3 linked regions of the Xenopus tropicalis genome follow. The protein of the gene in region 3 purifies or fractionates together with the protein of the main gene of each other region. This does not show direct contact. Links are inferred from orthologs where the notes say so. Each region holds a gene or a part of one and is shown on either strand. Other genes may lie near its edges. The genes, in order: ybx1, stau1 and lrrc59.

Region 1 (4,082 bases), on a different chromosome or scaffold from region 3:
ATAAAATATTATGCTATTTCTGGTATAGGTTATATAGTTCAGAAATGTTGAAGACTAAAAATATACACTTGTAGCTTGTGTAAAACGTATCCTCGTACCCTTTTGATAGTCTTACCTTTTCACCCTCCACTACATCAAACTCAACAGTTTCACCATCTCCCACACTGCGAAGGTACTTCCTAGGGTTATTCTTCTTGATGGCAGTCTAAAAAAAATATATTTTTTTTTTTAAATAAAAAGACATTAAAAGAAATCTGAACAAATGCTGAAAACTGATTAAATCTGCTTTTGCTCTATCTAGTTCCATGGCAATATAAAAAGGTGTAGGAAAATGTCCTATCCAACTGTGGAACAGTCATGACTTTCTATTCAGTATGCATTCTTTTATTACACCAAGGCAATCCGCTTTGATCAACACTATACTCAAATACAAGTTACCATATTAGAAGTTATAGAATACATTTTCTATACTAGATTGGACTAGACATCTGTAAAAAAAACCCAGATAAGTGGAATACTTACTTGGTGTACAAACACATCTTCCTTGGTGTCATTCCTATAAGGATAAAAACAAAATGTTAACGACAAAAGGTAGAAATTTTCACAGCACAACAAAGCTAAACAAAACAAAAATAGATTAAAGGCTTGTACTGTGCAAATTAATTTATATGTATAGGTCAAACACTAAAGGCAACATAAGCACAAAAATAGGAATAATGCTGGAAAGGCATTTTTTCTACCAACCACAAAGCATTGCCTTTAGACAAAGAATGGGCAAATGAAAATATATTTCAACCAGCATCCTTTTTTTCTCCATAAAGCCCACATCATATAGCTCATTTCTGACATTTTAGGAAAGAAGCCATCTTATATAATTGTTTTTAACAAACCGATTTATTTGGTTTATGTGAAAAAAGTACATTTCCTTTCAAAAAGCAGAAAAATCTTAAGATACAGTCGAAAGGATAAGGGAAAGCTGAATTAAAGCATGCCAGCCCTGGCTACTGGGTGCAATTACTGTTTTTGTTGTGTATCTGAATTTCTACAACAGCGACAGGCAAAGATCATTTTCTTGGCACAGGCATTCATAGAAGTACAGCGCTGAAACCGGTAGGCAGTGCTACTTAGGAAGCAAGCAATACAGCAGCTCCCCATCTCTATAAAAACATTTTTAAACTATGCCTTCCCCAAGTGTTAAGTAATTTAAGTAACTTCTGGTATTGCTTAACCGCATATCCTGGAATATATACTTGCTAAACCATATTAAAACAAGCATTTATGGGAAGTACCACGTGCATGGCCCCGAAGGGTCAGGCAGGCTGTAACAAGTTTACCAAATTACTAATCTAAGTTGGGGCAGAAATATGAACTCACCTGTTAATGAAGCCGTAACCATTGCGCACATTAAACCATTTGACCGTACCCAAAACCTTGGTTGCTGAAAGAAAATAAAAAATCGTTAGTTTGGAGTGAGGCACAAGATCAATCTAATATGCACAATAGAGCAATCACTTTCTGGCAGCACAGTAGCACCATAAACACAGGGGGTGGGTGGTGGTTTGGAAAGCTAACTTTTACAAAAAAAAATAATTAGAAATTATAAATACTAGTTACATGCAACTTATTGATCAGCAGCCAGTGAGATACAAGCCAAAGCAATACATAAACACTGCTAGTTTAATGGCTATCTGGACATACAACTTCAATGGCTACTGGGCCAGGCACAGCTATACAGTAATTACATTGAGTAGGATGGATGGGGGTGGATGGGGGAAGAGGAACAAAAACAAAGCCCTATCCCATGGCCCTGGTAGCAACATTTCCTGAGGGAAAGTAATGCAACTGGTTGTGTGCATTCCCACTCACTGCTATATAAACACACGGAATTACAATTAAAGGCATCAGCAAACAAACATTGCTATTTGGGGCCATAAGAGTGTTGTCAATTCTTTTTTTCAAATGAAAAACTACAACTCCCAGAATCCCCGTTTATTGCCAAGCGCTATAAAGGCTGCTACTAAGCAAGCCGAGTGCAAAGATAGACTAAAATGGCTCTCATGCCCCTCCCGCTCAGGCCCAGGCGGTACGAGCAGCTCCGTGCCACAACTACTCACACACCACGTGGCTGGAGCCGGGCCAGAGCCGCAACCCGAGCAGCCGGGACACACGGAGCCGCCAATTCCCAGCGCCATCACGGCCCTCACACTCCCCCGTATGTTTGCAAAGCAAACGTGAGGCCAGAGGCGCTACTGGGGACCCAGCAAAGGCGCGGCGGCATACAAAAGAGGAGGTGGGGGGGGTGTAGGCCGCAGGCGGCGGCGGACATGTTACAGGCCCTATTCCTCTCAGGACACAGGAAGGGATGATGTCACGGCGCTGCGGGGGGGGGGGTGATGTCACGGCGCCGGGGGGGGCAGAGATCCGTCACCAACAACTCCGCGTGGCACGACACTCCACGTCGGTGTAACCGCCACTCACCCGCGCCCTATAGTAAAAGCGAAAACCGCTCCCTCACACTATAAATAAACAGATAACCGCGCCTGTTTGTGCAAATATCTAGTAATCGCCTTAACCAACGTGACTGCACAGGGGATGCTGGGAGTAGTAGTCATATTGAGCCTGACGCGCCAAATACCCAGCCCTGCCTGTGTCCGAGAGGCATCTCTCGTATGCTAATTCAATCGTACTTACCGATGACCTTCTTCTCCCCCACGGTGGCCGCCGGTTCCTGGCCGGCCTTGCCCTCCAATGCGACTGTCTGCTGCTGTTGTGTTTCAACCTCGCTGCTCATTGTGTCTTTGATGGTGTAAGTTGGCTGCTTTCGGAGGTGGTGACTCGGGCCGGCGGTTGGCTCGCTTTAACTTCCCCCCGGGGTGTTGATGGTAACTCAGGCCGGCGGTGGGGCTGCTGCCTTTCGAGCTCCCTGCTGTCCGCTCTCCGCTCCCGCTACCGATCGAACTGCCTGGCAATGGCCTTACAGACGGGTTAATCATCGCAGACATCCCGCCCTGGCTATTATCCTATTGGTCAATTGGCTTGTCAGTCTACGGGTTTAGTAAAAAACTCTGCAGTTGTATGGTCGAATGGCTTGTCAATCAAGAATCGACGCGCTCTGTTTGGATGTGTTCCTTCTGTAATCTTATTGGCTAAGGCAGATGTCAATAACAGGATTGGAGGGATTAGTCTCTGCCTCTAGCGTCTGCATTATTGGATGGGATGTAGCTGTTGAGCTCTAAGGCTGATATAAACAGTGATCAATAAAGTGTAAGGTGTGGGGGGTAGGATAAATGCAATAAACTATTGGGCAGGTACCTCAATATTTGACTTGTGTTTAGTTCAGCTGTTTCCCGGCACATCAGCCCTTATGAGCTGAAGGTAATGATACCAGATCACTCATATAAGGGGTTGTGCTTAGGCAACGGACTCTGTCTATTGTTATGGCGCTGAGTCCAAATCCAAGGTTTTATGGAAGTATGGCGTATTGCTTATTTCCTAATCCTCGGATTGTCTAACGGGCAGGCCCCCCCGACCTCATGTCTTGATTTCTGTTTGTTTCTTCGCAATGGTGTAATTTCTGCCTTATTGCTTATATTTTCCCAAATACATTACACAGCAGAGTATATTAGTGTTTTATAAATGGGCTTTAATAATAGCGGGAATAGTCACATCAGCAGTACACTTGCACAGCCTAACTTGCAGTATGCTCCATAGCTGCAATAACAGCATGCACATCGCAAATACTAATATAAATGTGATAGTTTAAGACACATTAAAATCTATCTCATATAATTTTAATAAAACTCCACAAAAGCAAATGAGAATTAAATAATATGAATTAGTCTTTCTGACTGGTTAGGTCAGATCAATAATGATGTATGAGCTGACAATTCATGGTTCAACACTGACTGATTACTGGTCTATTAAAGGAACAGTAACACCAAAAAATGAAAGTGTTTTAAAGTAATTGAAATATAATGTACTGTGGCCCTGCGCTGGTAAAACTGGGGTGTTTGCTTCAGAAACACTACTATAGTTTATATAAATAAGCTTCTGTGTAGCCATGGGGGCAGCCATTCAAGCTG
Region 2 (3,650 bases), about 5.7 Mb from region 3:
AACAAAACTCTCATCAATTTAATTTATACACAAAACAAAAGAGAAATAAAAATACAATTAATAAAATGCCTAAAAAATGAAAATTTTACTACTATGGTTTTTTTTTTCTAATTCAACGTTTTTCCTTTCCCCATCCGTGTAGGGCACAGCACATAATTGTTTAATAACTAGCATGGTATAAAACAAGAGGAAAAAAAAAAAAGACATATTGTAGATACATATACACAACCACACGCGAGGATATGATCTGATCAGTACATGAAATGTGTTGAGGATTCTAGGCCGCTGGGTACAATTAATATTGTATTTACCGAGTCTCTAGACAAAACAAAAAAACATTAGTAATACCGAGACTGTTCCATTTTAGGGTGATTCTTTAGCTGTTCATGAATGTCTGCCCCCCCCCCCCTCCCCATTCACTATTGGCAGGTATGTGCAACCAGAGGTCGTCCATAACCCAAATACCTGCCATAAGTGTATGTGCATTATGGGGAGCCTCCAATGACAATGACGGTTCAGACTTCACAACAGCTAAAAAGCCACCCTGACCCCTGCTCTCTGGTTATACAGTGCCGAGAGGTAAATGGCGATGGTGGAAGCACTCTAAGTGACGAGGACGTTTTGATTTTCTTCGGTGCTTTTAGGATCGGGCTCAGCCGGAAGGCCTGTATCAGGCTGTACTGTCCAGTGTTTGTCCCAAGGTGTTTGAGTTAGCCGGTTTGAGGAGAGGATCACTTTCCATTTCGGGTTTTACACATCTGCAGGAGAACAAAACCTTGTTTAAAGAAAGGGTTAAGTGTGCAGCCTGCATCATAACATTACATACGATCAGTAGGGATTGGCCCACACACACACGGGCTAACACAGTCCAGGTACCCTGTTTGTTTGGAAGTGTGTGTGTGTGTGTGAGTGTGAACAACCAACACTGAGGTACAGACCCCAAACCAAACAGGAAGCCACCAACTGCTGAACTTCAACTCCCAGCATTCCTGGCCTACAGACACTGTACAGAAGTATTTATGAACAGAATGTAGGTCACAGGACAGCTACTCTCCATTTACAGCTTACGGTGTATTTGTAGCTTATATAAAAATAGGAAAAGTTTAAAGTATATACAGGTATAGGACCCGTTATCTAGAATGCTCGGAAACAAGGGTATTCTGGATAAGGAATCTTTTCTGTAATTTGGATCTCTATACCTTAAGGGGCACATTTACTAACCCACGAACGGGCCGAATGCGTCCGATTGCGTTTTTTTTCGTAATGATCGGTATTTTGCGATTTTTTCGGAAATTATCGCGACTTTTTCGTTACCAATACGATTTTTGCGAAAAAACGCGAGTTTTTCGTAGCCATTCCAAAAGTTGTGCAAAATCTGGCGATTTTTTCGTAGCGTTAAAATTTGCGCGAAAAGTCGCGATTTTTTCGTAGAGTTAAAACTTGCACGAAACGTCGCGCCTTGTAAGTTTTAATGCTACGAAAAAGGCGCGACTTTTTGCGCAAGTTTTAACGCTACGAAAAAATCGCCAGATTTTGCGCAACTTTCGGAATGGCTACGAAAAACTCGCATTTTTTCGCGCAAGTCGTAATGGCTACGAAAAAACTCACGTTTTTTCGCGCAAATCGTATTGGTAACGAAAAAGTCGTGATAATTTCCGAAAAGTCGTAAAGACGCCGAAAAAAAATCGCAAAAAATACGAAAAAGTCGCAAAATGTTCGTTTTCCAAACGGAATTTTTCCAATTCGGATTCGAATTCGTGTCTTAGTAAATCAGCCCCTAAGTCTACTAAAAAATAAATAAAACATTAATTAAACCCAATAGGGCTGTTCTGCCCCCAATAAGGGGTAATTATATCTTAGTTGGGATCAAGTACAGGTACTGTTTTATTATTACAGAGAAAAGGGAATCATTTAACCATTAAATAAACCCAATAGGGCTGTTCTGCCCCCAATAAGGGGTAATTATATCTTAGTTGGGATCAAGTACAGGTACTGTTTTATTATTACAGAGAAAAGGGAATCATTTAACCATTAAATAAACCCAATAGGGCTGTTCTGCCCCAATAAGGGGTAATTATATCTTAGTTGGGATCAAGTACAGGTACTGTTTTATTATTACAGAGAAAAGGGAATCATTTAACCATTAAATAAACCCAATAGGGCTGTTCTGCCCCCAATAAGGGGTAATTATATCTTAGTTGGGATCAAGTACAGGTACTGTTTTATTATTACAGAGAAAAGGGAATCATTTAACCATTAAATAAACCCAATAGGGCTGTTCTGCCCCCAATAAGGGGTAATTATATCTTAGTTGGAATCAAGTACAGGTACTGTTTTATTATTACAGAGAAAAGGGAATCATTTAACCATTAAATAAACCCAATAGGGCTGTTCTGCCCCCAATAAGGGGTAATTATATCTTAGTTGGGATCAAGTACAGGTACTGTTTTATTATTACAGAGAAAAGGGAATCATTTAACCATTAAATAAACCCAATAGGGCTGTTCTGCCCCCAATAAGGGGTAATTATATCTTAGTTGGAATCAAGTACAGGTACTGTTTTATTATTACAGAGAAAAGGGAATCATTTAACCATTAAATAAACCCAATAGGGCTGTTCTGCCCCCAATAAGGGGTAATTATATCTTAGTTGGGATCAAGTACAGGTACTGTTTTATTATTACAGAGAAAAAGGAAATCAGTTTTAAAATTCTGAATTATTTGATTAAAATGGAGTCTATGGAAGACGGGCTTTCTGTAATTCGGAGCTTTCTGGATAACGGGTTTCCGGATATGGGGTCCGATACCTGTACTGATATACAGATTCTCTCTCTCTAGATTAGATTCCAACGGAACAGCATTTGCTTAACTCCTGGTTATGACTTTTTAAACAAAGTTGCAAAGGTCAGTCACCCTGCTGCCTTGTGCTACATTGTTTTATTGAGTCGGAGCCTCCAGGACAGAGAATAGAAAAGGACAAACACTGCTTCTAATAGCAATTATATATACAAATATCTTTAACCATTACAAATTTGTCATGAATGTATATTGCAAAGTTGCTTAGAATGATGTTTTCTTTTATTATGCAAAAAATTATTTTTCGGGTTGACATGTCCCTTAAATGTGCATATTACTCTACCCGAGAGCTAGGGATAGCAAATCAAATAGCCAGGCATGGCAACTGCCACCCTCACTGCTGGGTCTGGACTAAGAGCCCAATGAATAGACTATGGCAGGGGTGCCCAGACTTTTCCCCCAGCGGTCATATTTTGGCCCCTCTCCACGTACGTACGCATACCCTATAAATGCGTTGAACCGCCGCACTTTCCGGCTTCGATGCGGTCAACCAGAAATCCATGGGGGATCGACTGGTGGACCACAATCAACGTTTTGGCCACCCCTGATCTATGGTATCTTACATCAGCCCCTACAGATTGCCAGGCCCGCCCACTACAATTCTCTGCCTTTGATTATCAGCCGATATGGGCTGTTTTAAGGAGCAGGGGTTGTGTATTACCCAATCAGAGACTAGAAATCAGAACTCACACAGACATTGGTCCATTTCCTGTTCTGGGCATCTCTGGGTTTTGTTGGTCCAGCTCAGACAGCAATTTCAAGATGTTCAATGCAGCCTTAAAGGGAAAACATGG
Region 3 (4,250 bases):
CCCTTGTTCCTCCTATACTATCAACGAACCATCTAAGGTGGCCATAAACGCTAAGATCCGCTCACTTGGAATTGGTCTAAGGGACCGATATCAGCAGCTAGAATCGGCCCGTGTATGGCAGCCTTAATCCTGTGCTAGGGCTGCACATTGCTTCCTATTCAAATGTTACCTTTGCAAACACTCTTTCAATTTATTGCCAGTTGCTAAGGTCAGCTGAACCCTAGCAACCACAACATTTGGTTATGCAGCCATGCAGAATGTTCGCTTATCAGCTGATCTTATGCACACTGTGTGCACTCTAGTACCTTGCCTACAATCCTTATTCTGGCAAGATCTACCCCCAAGGCCAGAGGCCCCCACTGCTCTCTACACTATCCACACACTTCTTTCTCTCGCACCACCAGGCCTCATCACAGTGTTCATATAACCACAGACTACATGCAAATTGTGCTTCAGCCAGGGCCGGATTTAAACCTTGTGTGCCCCTCGGCCTCTCAGCTGTTTGCACCCCCCCCCCGCTATTCACACCTCCCCACCACTCACACCTACTGCCACCTTTCCAGCATGATTACTTCACATAGTTGCCAAAATCTCCCGCCCAGTACATATGTGGCCAGAATGCTGCCCCCCAATATTTGCTGCCCTATGCCTGGGCCTTTGTGGCCTGCCCACAAACCTGGGCCTGGCTTCAACCCTTTCCTATAAAACCCCTGTAAATAGAGCTCTGACCCCACCCTTCTATCATGCCTACAATACACACTGTAGCCCAGATCTCTCAGCCAAGGCCAACGGCTCACACTACCCCCTCCAGTGCTCAGGCACCTCCCTCACACCCCACCAGACCTCACCTTCAACTGTGCAAAGGAGACAGGCAGCGCCACTATGCGGTTCTGTAGCAGGTCCAGATGCTGCAGGTTCACCAGCCTGCCGAATTCTGAAGGGAGCTGCGCTATCTGATTCTTGCTGAGATCCAGTCGCACTATGTAACTCAGATTGCAGAAATCATCCTGCGGAAAGAGAAGATCATGAGCCTCAGGCTGTGGGGAGTATGGCGAGATGCAGGGAGTCGCAGTTACAGCCACAGAGACCAACTGCAAGGGGAAGAGTAAGATCCTGCAGATGATGCAGCAGCTTAGAAGGTTAGGAATCCTGCATGCAGTTTAGGGGGGCACTCATTTGAGGATTTGACTCAGAGCCATGTTACTTTAAAGGGGTGGGTCACGTAAATTGTCTCAAAATAGTACCAGATACATGATACTAAACTTATTTAAAGCCTAAATACCCTGAGAATCGGTCTGGTTAACTGGACCCAAGTGGGGATACTGGTTTGGTGCATCCCTAATGCAGACACGGAACATTTCACTTGCTGTTAAACCCAGATGAGAGTCTCACCGGTAAGGAAGTCAGCTTGTTACAGGAAAGGTCCAGAGCCGTCGCCTTGGGAATGGCCACCTGAAAGAGAAGGAGGGGTCACTACCAGACGGGGGGAGGCAAACTGAATGTAATGGGGGGCCCAAGCTCCATCAGGCTCATATACACTGGGCACAGACGGCAATAAATCTCTCACCAGGTCCCGAACAGGCACTTCGCTCAGATCACTCAGGCTCAGGTCCAGCTCATTCCCGTCCAATTTGTCCCTCAGGTTCTGGGATCTTCCGTTCGCTCGTGCCATTTCGCTGCAAAGACACCACAGCTATAGCTCAGTGCTTATCTTATGGCATCATTTCCCAAGATCCCCAGCAAGCCTATCAGCCTACAGCTCAGTGCTTATCTTATGGCATCATTTCCCAAGATCCCCAGCTAGCCTATCAGCCTACAGCAGCTACAGCTCAGTGCTTATCCTATAGCATAATTTCCCAAGACCCCAGCTAGCCTATCAGCCTACAGCATAATTTCCCAAGATCCCCAGCTAGCCTATCAGCCTACAGCATAACTTCCCAAGATCCCCAGCTAGCCTATCAGCCTACAGCAGCTTTAGCTCAGTGCTTATCCTATAGCATAATTTCCCAAGATCCCCAGCTAGCCTATCAGCCTACAGCATAATTTCCCAAGATCATCAGATAGCCTATCAGCCTACAGCATTACTTCCCAAGATCCCCAGCTAGCCTATCAGCCTACAACTCAGTACTTATTGTATGGCATAATTTCCCAAGATCCCCGGCTAGCCTATCCGCCTACAGCTCAATGCTTATCTTATGGCATAATTTCCCAAGATCCCCGGCTAGCCTATCCGCCTACAGCTCAATGCTTATCTTATGACATAATTTCCCAAGATCCCCAGCTAGCCTATCAGCCTACAACTCGGTACTTATTGTATGGCATTTTTTCCCCAAGATCCCCAGCAAGCCTATCAGCCTACAGCAGCTATAGCTCAGTGCTTATCTTATGGAATAATTTCCCAAGATCCTCAGCAAGCCTACAGCTCAGTACTTATCCTAAGGCATCATTTCCCAAAAACCTTAGCAAGTACCAAAGGCATCAGTTACACACAAGGTGCATTCAATACATTATTATCTCAGTGCTGATCTCCCAGCTTTAATCCCTATAATCCCCAGTAGAACTCAATTCCGCTCCTTACCCAGCCATAACCCCCCAGGTCCCATCCCTCCTGCCCCAGCTGCCTTTCCCACCCCCAGCCTCCCCATACTGTAACATACCCTCCATCCTCCCCAAGAACCACAGCCCCTTATTCTCTCCCCGTTCTACCTACCTCTCCCCTTCCCACCTACCTCTCCCCTTCCCGGCTGCCTCACTGCGCTGCCTGCGTGTCTCCCCGCACTCCGATCCCTGAGCAGCAGCTTCCTGATCCACGTCAGACTCAAACATTCCAGCCAACGAGTCGGGGAATGGGGACAGACGGGCCGAACCATAGAGTTGTGCCTGGAAGCGAAGGGCGCCCCCAGTGGCGGATAATCAGTATGTAACTAACTCAGTACCACAGTCAGAGTTTCTTTAGCAAATTCCCTCATGCTCTAAGGCCAAAGGAAGTCGTTATGTGGCTGGGAAACTGCCTCTATGATGGATTTACACTAATCAGTACAGCTTTGATTTAAGTTCAGGTAATATATCCCTCCCATATAGATTGTAAGCTCTACGGGGCAGGGACCTCCATCCTCTTGTGTCTTTGAGTCTTAACTTATTGCAACTGTATCTTGTATTTATCTGTATTTATTGTTATACTGTGTATTTATCTATTATTATCTTATTAACCCCCTGTTTGTATTAATCTATTCTACTGTACAGCGCTGCGTACATAAGTAGCACTTTATAAATAAAGGTATACATACATACATACAGGGTCGGACTGGGGGGTGAAGGGCCCATAGCCTCCCCCCCGAGGGGCCCCCCTAACACCACTTGAAGGGCCCCCACCCTACGGCCTTTCCCGAGCACGTAAATGTAACGCGTCGGGGCAGGAGCGGTCGGGCAGGGGGAGCGCTGCAAGGGTCGGGGCTCTGGGCCGCCGGGGCCCACTAGGGATTTTTCCCGGTGTCCCGGGGCCCAGTTCGACTCTACATGCATACAGTGTCATTATTGGGGGTTAAAATGACAGCATGTTGGCCAAATGCCTGTTATGGTTGTGGGCTCTCAGTCTGGTTATAGCCAAGCACCAATGCTCTTACACAGTGTGTTGGGTGACTATTGACACCTAATTGCTAGGACTGTACCTTCTCTAGTTGGTTGGATCATTTGCCCTAGTAGATCTAGGGTCTAATTGTAAGTCTGGGGAAGTGAAATATCCCCCTTCCAACCCAACTGTCGTGACTAGACATGGCATATCCTGACATGGAGCAGGGTTGCTACCCGCCAAGGCCAGTAAAACACCCACCAAGGCCAGTGCTGGTATAATAATCTCTAATTTAGCTCCTGGCCCTCTCACCTAAGCCCTTGTCTCACCCTAAATCATACCTTTTCCTTTCCTTGAGCCCCCCTCTAGTGCTCTGTCACATCATAGCCCCCATAGGGATGTCACCTGTTGGGTTTTGGACAGGACAGCCTTCCCCCCCCCCCCCCCCCCCCACCCAGTGCTGTCTGGTTCAATGTTGTCTTTTTGGGCTCCAGAGCTCTGAAAAGTATGGTTCCCCAGTGTATATTAAGTTATATTATGGTTGCTATCTAATGTTTATTTGTTTTTTATTTGTTTCATAGTATGAAACAAAAGAAAATAGCATGAATATATTCACATATTACAGACAATGCCCCTGATACCCCTAATGCAATAATGGCTTGATACCTATATATAATCATAT

Evidence for each region.
Region 1: the proteins of lrrc59 (region 3) and ybx1 purify together in Homo sapiens (co-immunoprecipitation; 3 studies listed by BioGRID and IntAct, with this or other methods). This does not show direct contact. The link is inferred for Xenopus tropicalis from reciprocal best matches to the Homo sapiens genes LRRC59 and YBX1.
Region 2: the proteins of lrrc59 (region 3) and stau1 purify together in Homo sapiens (affinity purification with mass spectrometry; 3 studies listed by BioGRID). This does not show direct contact. The link is inferred for Xenopus tropicalis from reciprocal best matches to the Homo sapiens genes LRRC59 and STAU1.

Annotation. Positions count from the first base shown.
Region 1 is NC_030683.2:94,733,858-94,737,939, forward strand, and holds the start of ybx1 (nuclease-sensitive element-binding protein 1), read right to left. Parts: upstream 2,947-4,082; 5' UTR 2,792-2,946; coding exon 2,692-2,791; intron 1,439-2,691; coding exon 1,375-1,438; intron 557-1,374; coding exon 523-556; intron 206-522; coding exon 116-205; intron 1-115. UniProt on the Homo sapiens protein: DNA- and RNA-binding protein involved in various processes, such as translational repression, RNA stabilization, mRNA splicing, DNA repair and transcription regulation.
Region 2 is NC_030686.2:38,163,071-38,166,720, reverse strand, and holds part of stau1 (double-stranded RNA-binding protein Staufen homolog 1), read right to left. Parts: intron 3,633-3,650; coding exon 3,547-3,632; intron 759-3,546; coding exon 671-758; 3' UTR 1-670. UniProt on the Homo sapiens protein: Binds double-stranded RNA (regardless of the sequence) and tubulin.
Region 3 is NC_030686.2:43,884,576-43,888,825, reverse strand, and holds the start of lrrc59 (leucine-rich repeat-containing protein 59), read right to left. Parts: upstream 2,825-4,250; 5' UTR 2,730-2,824; intron 1,677-2,729; 5' UTR 1,673-1,676; coding exon 1,568-1,672; intron 1,453-1,567; coding exon 1,393-1,452; intron 1,008-1,392; coding exon 849-1,007; intron 1-848.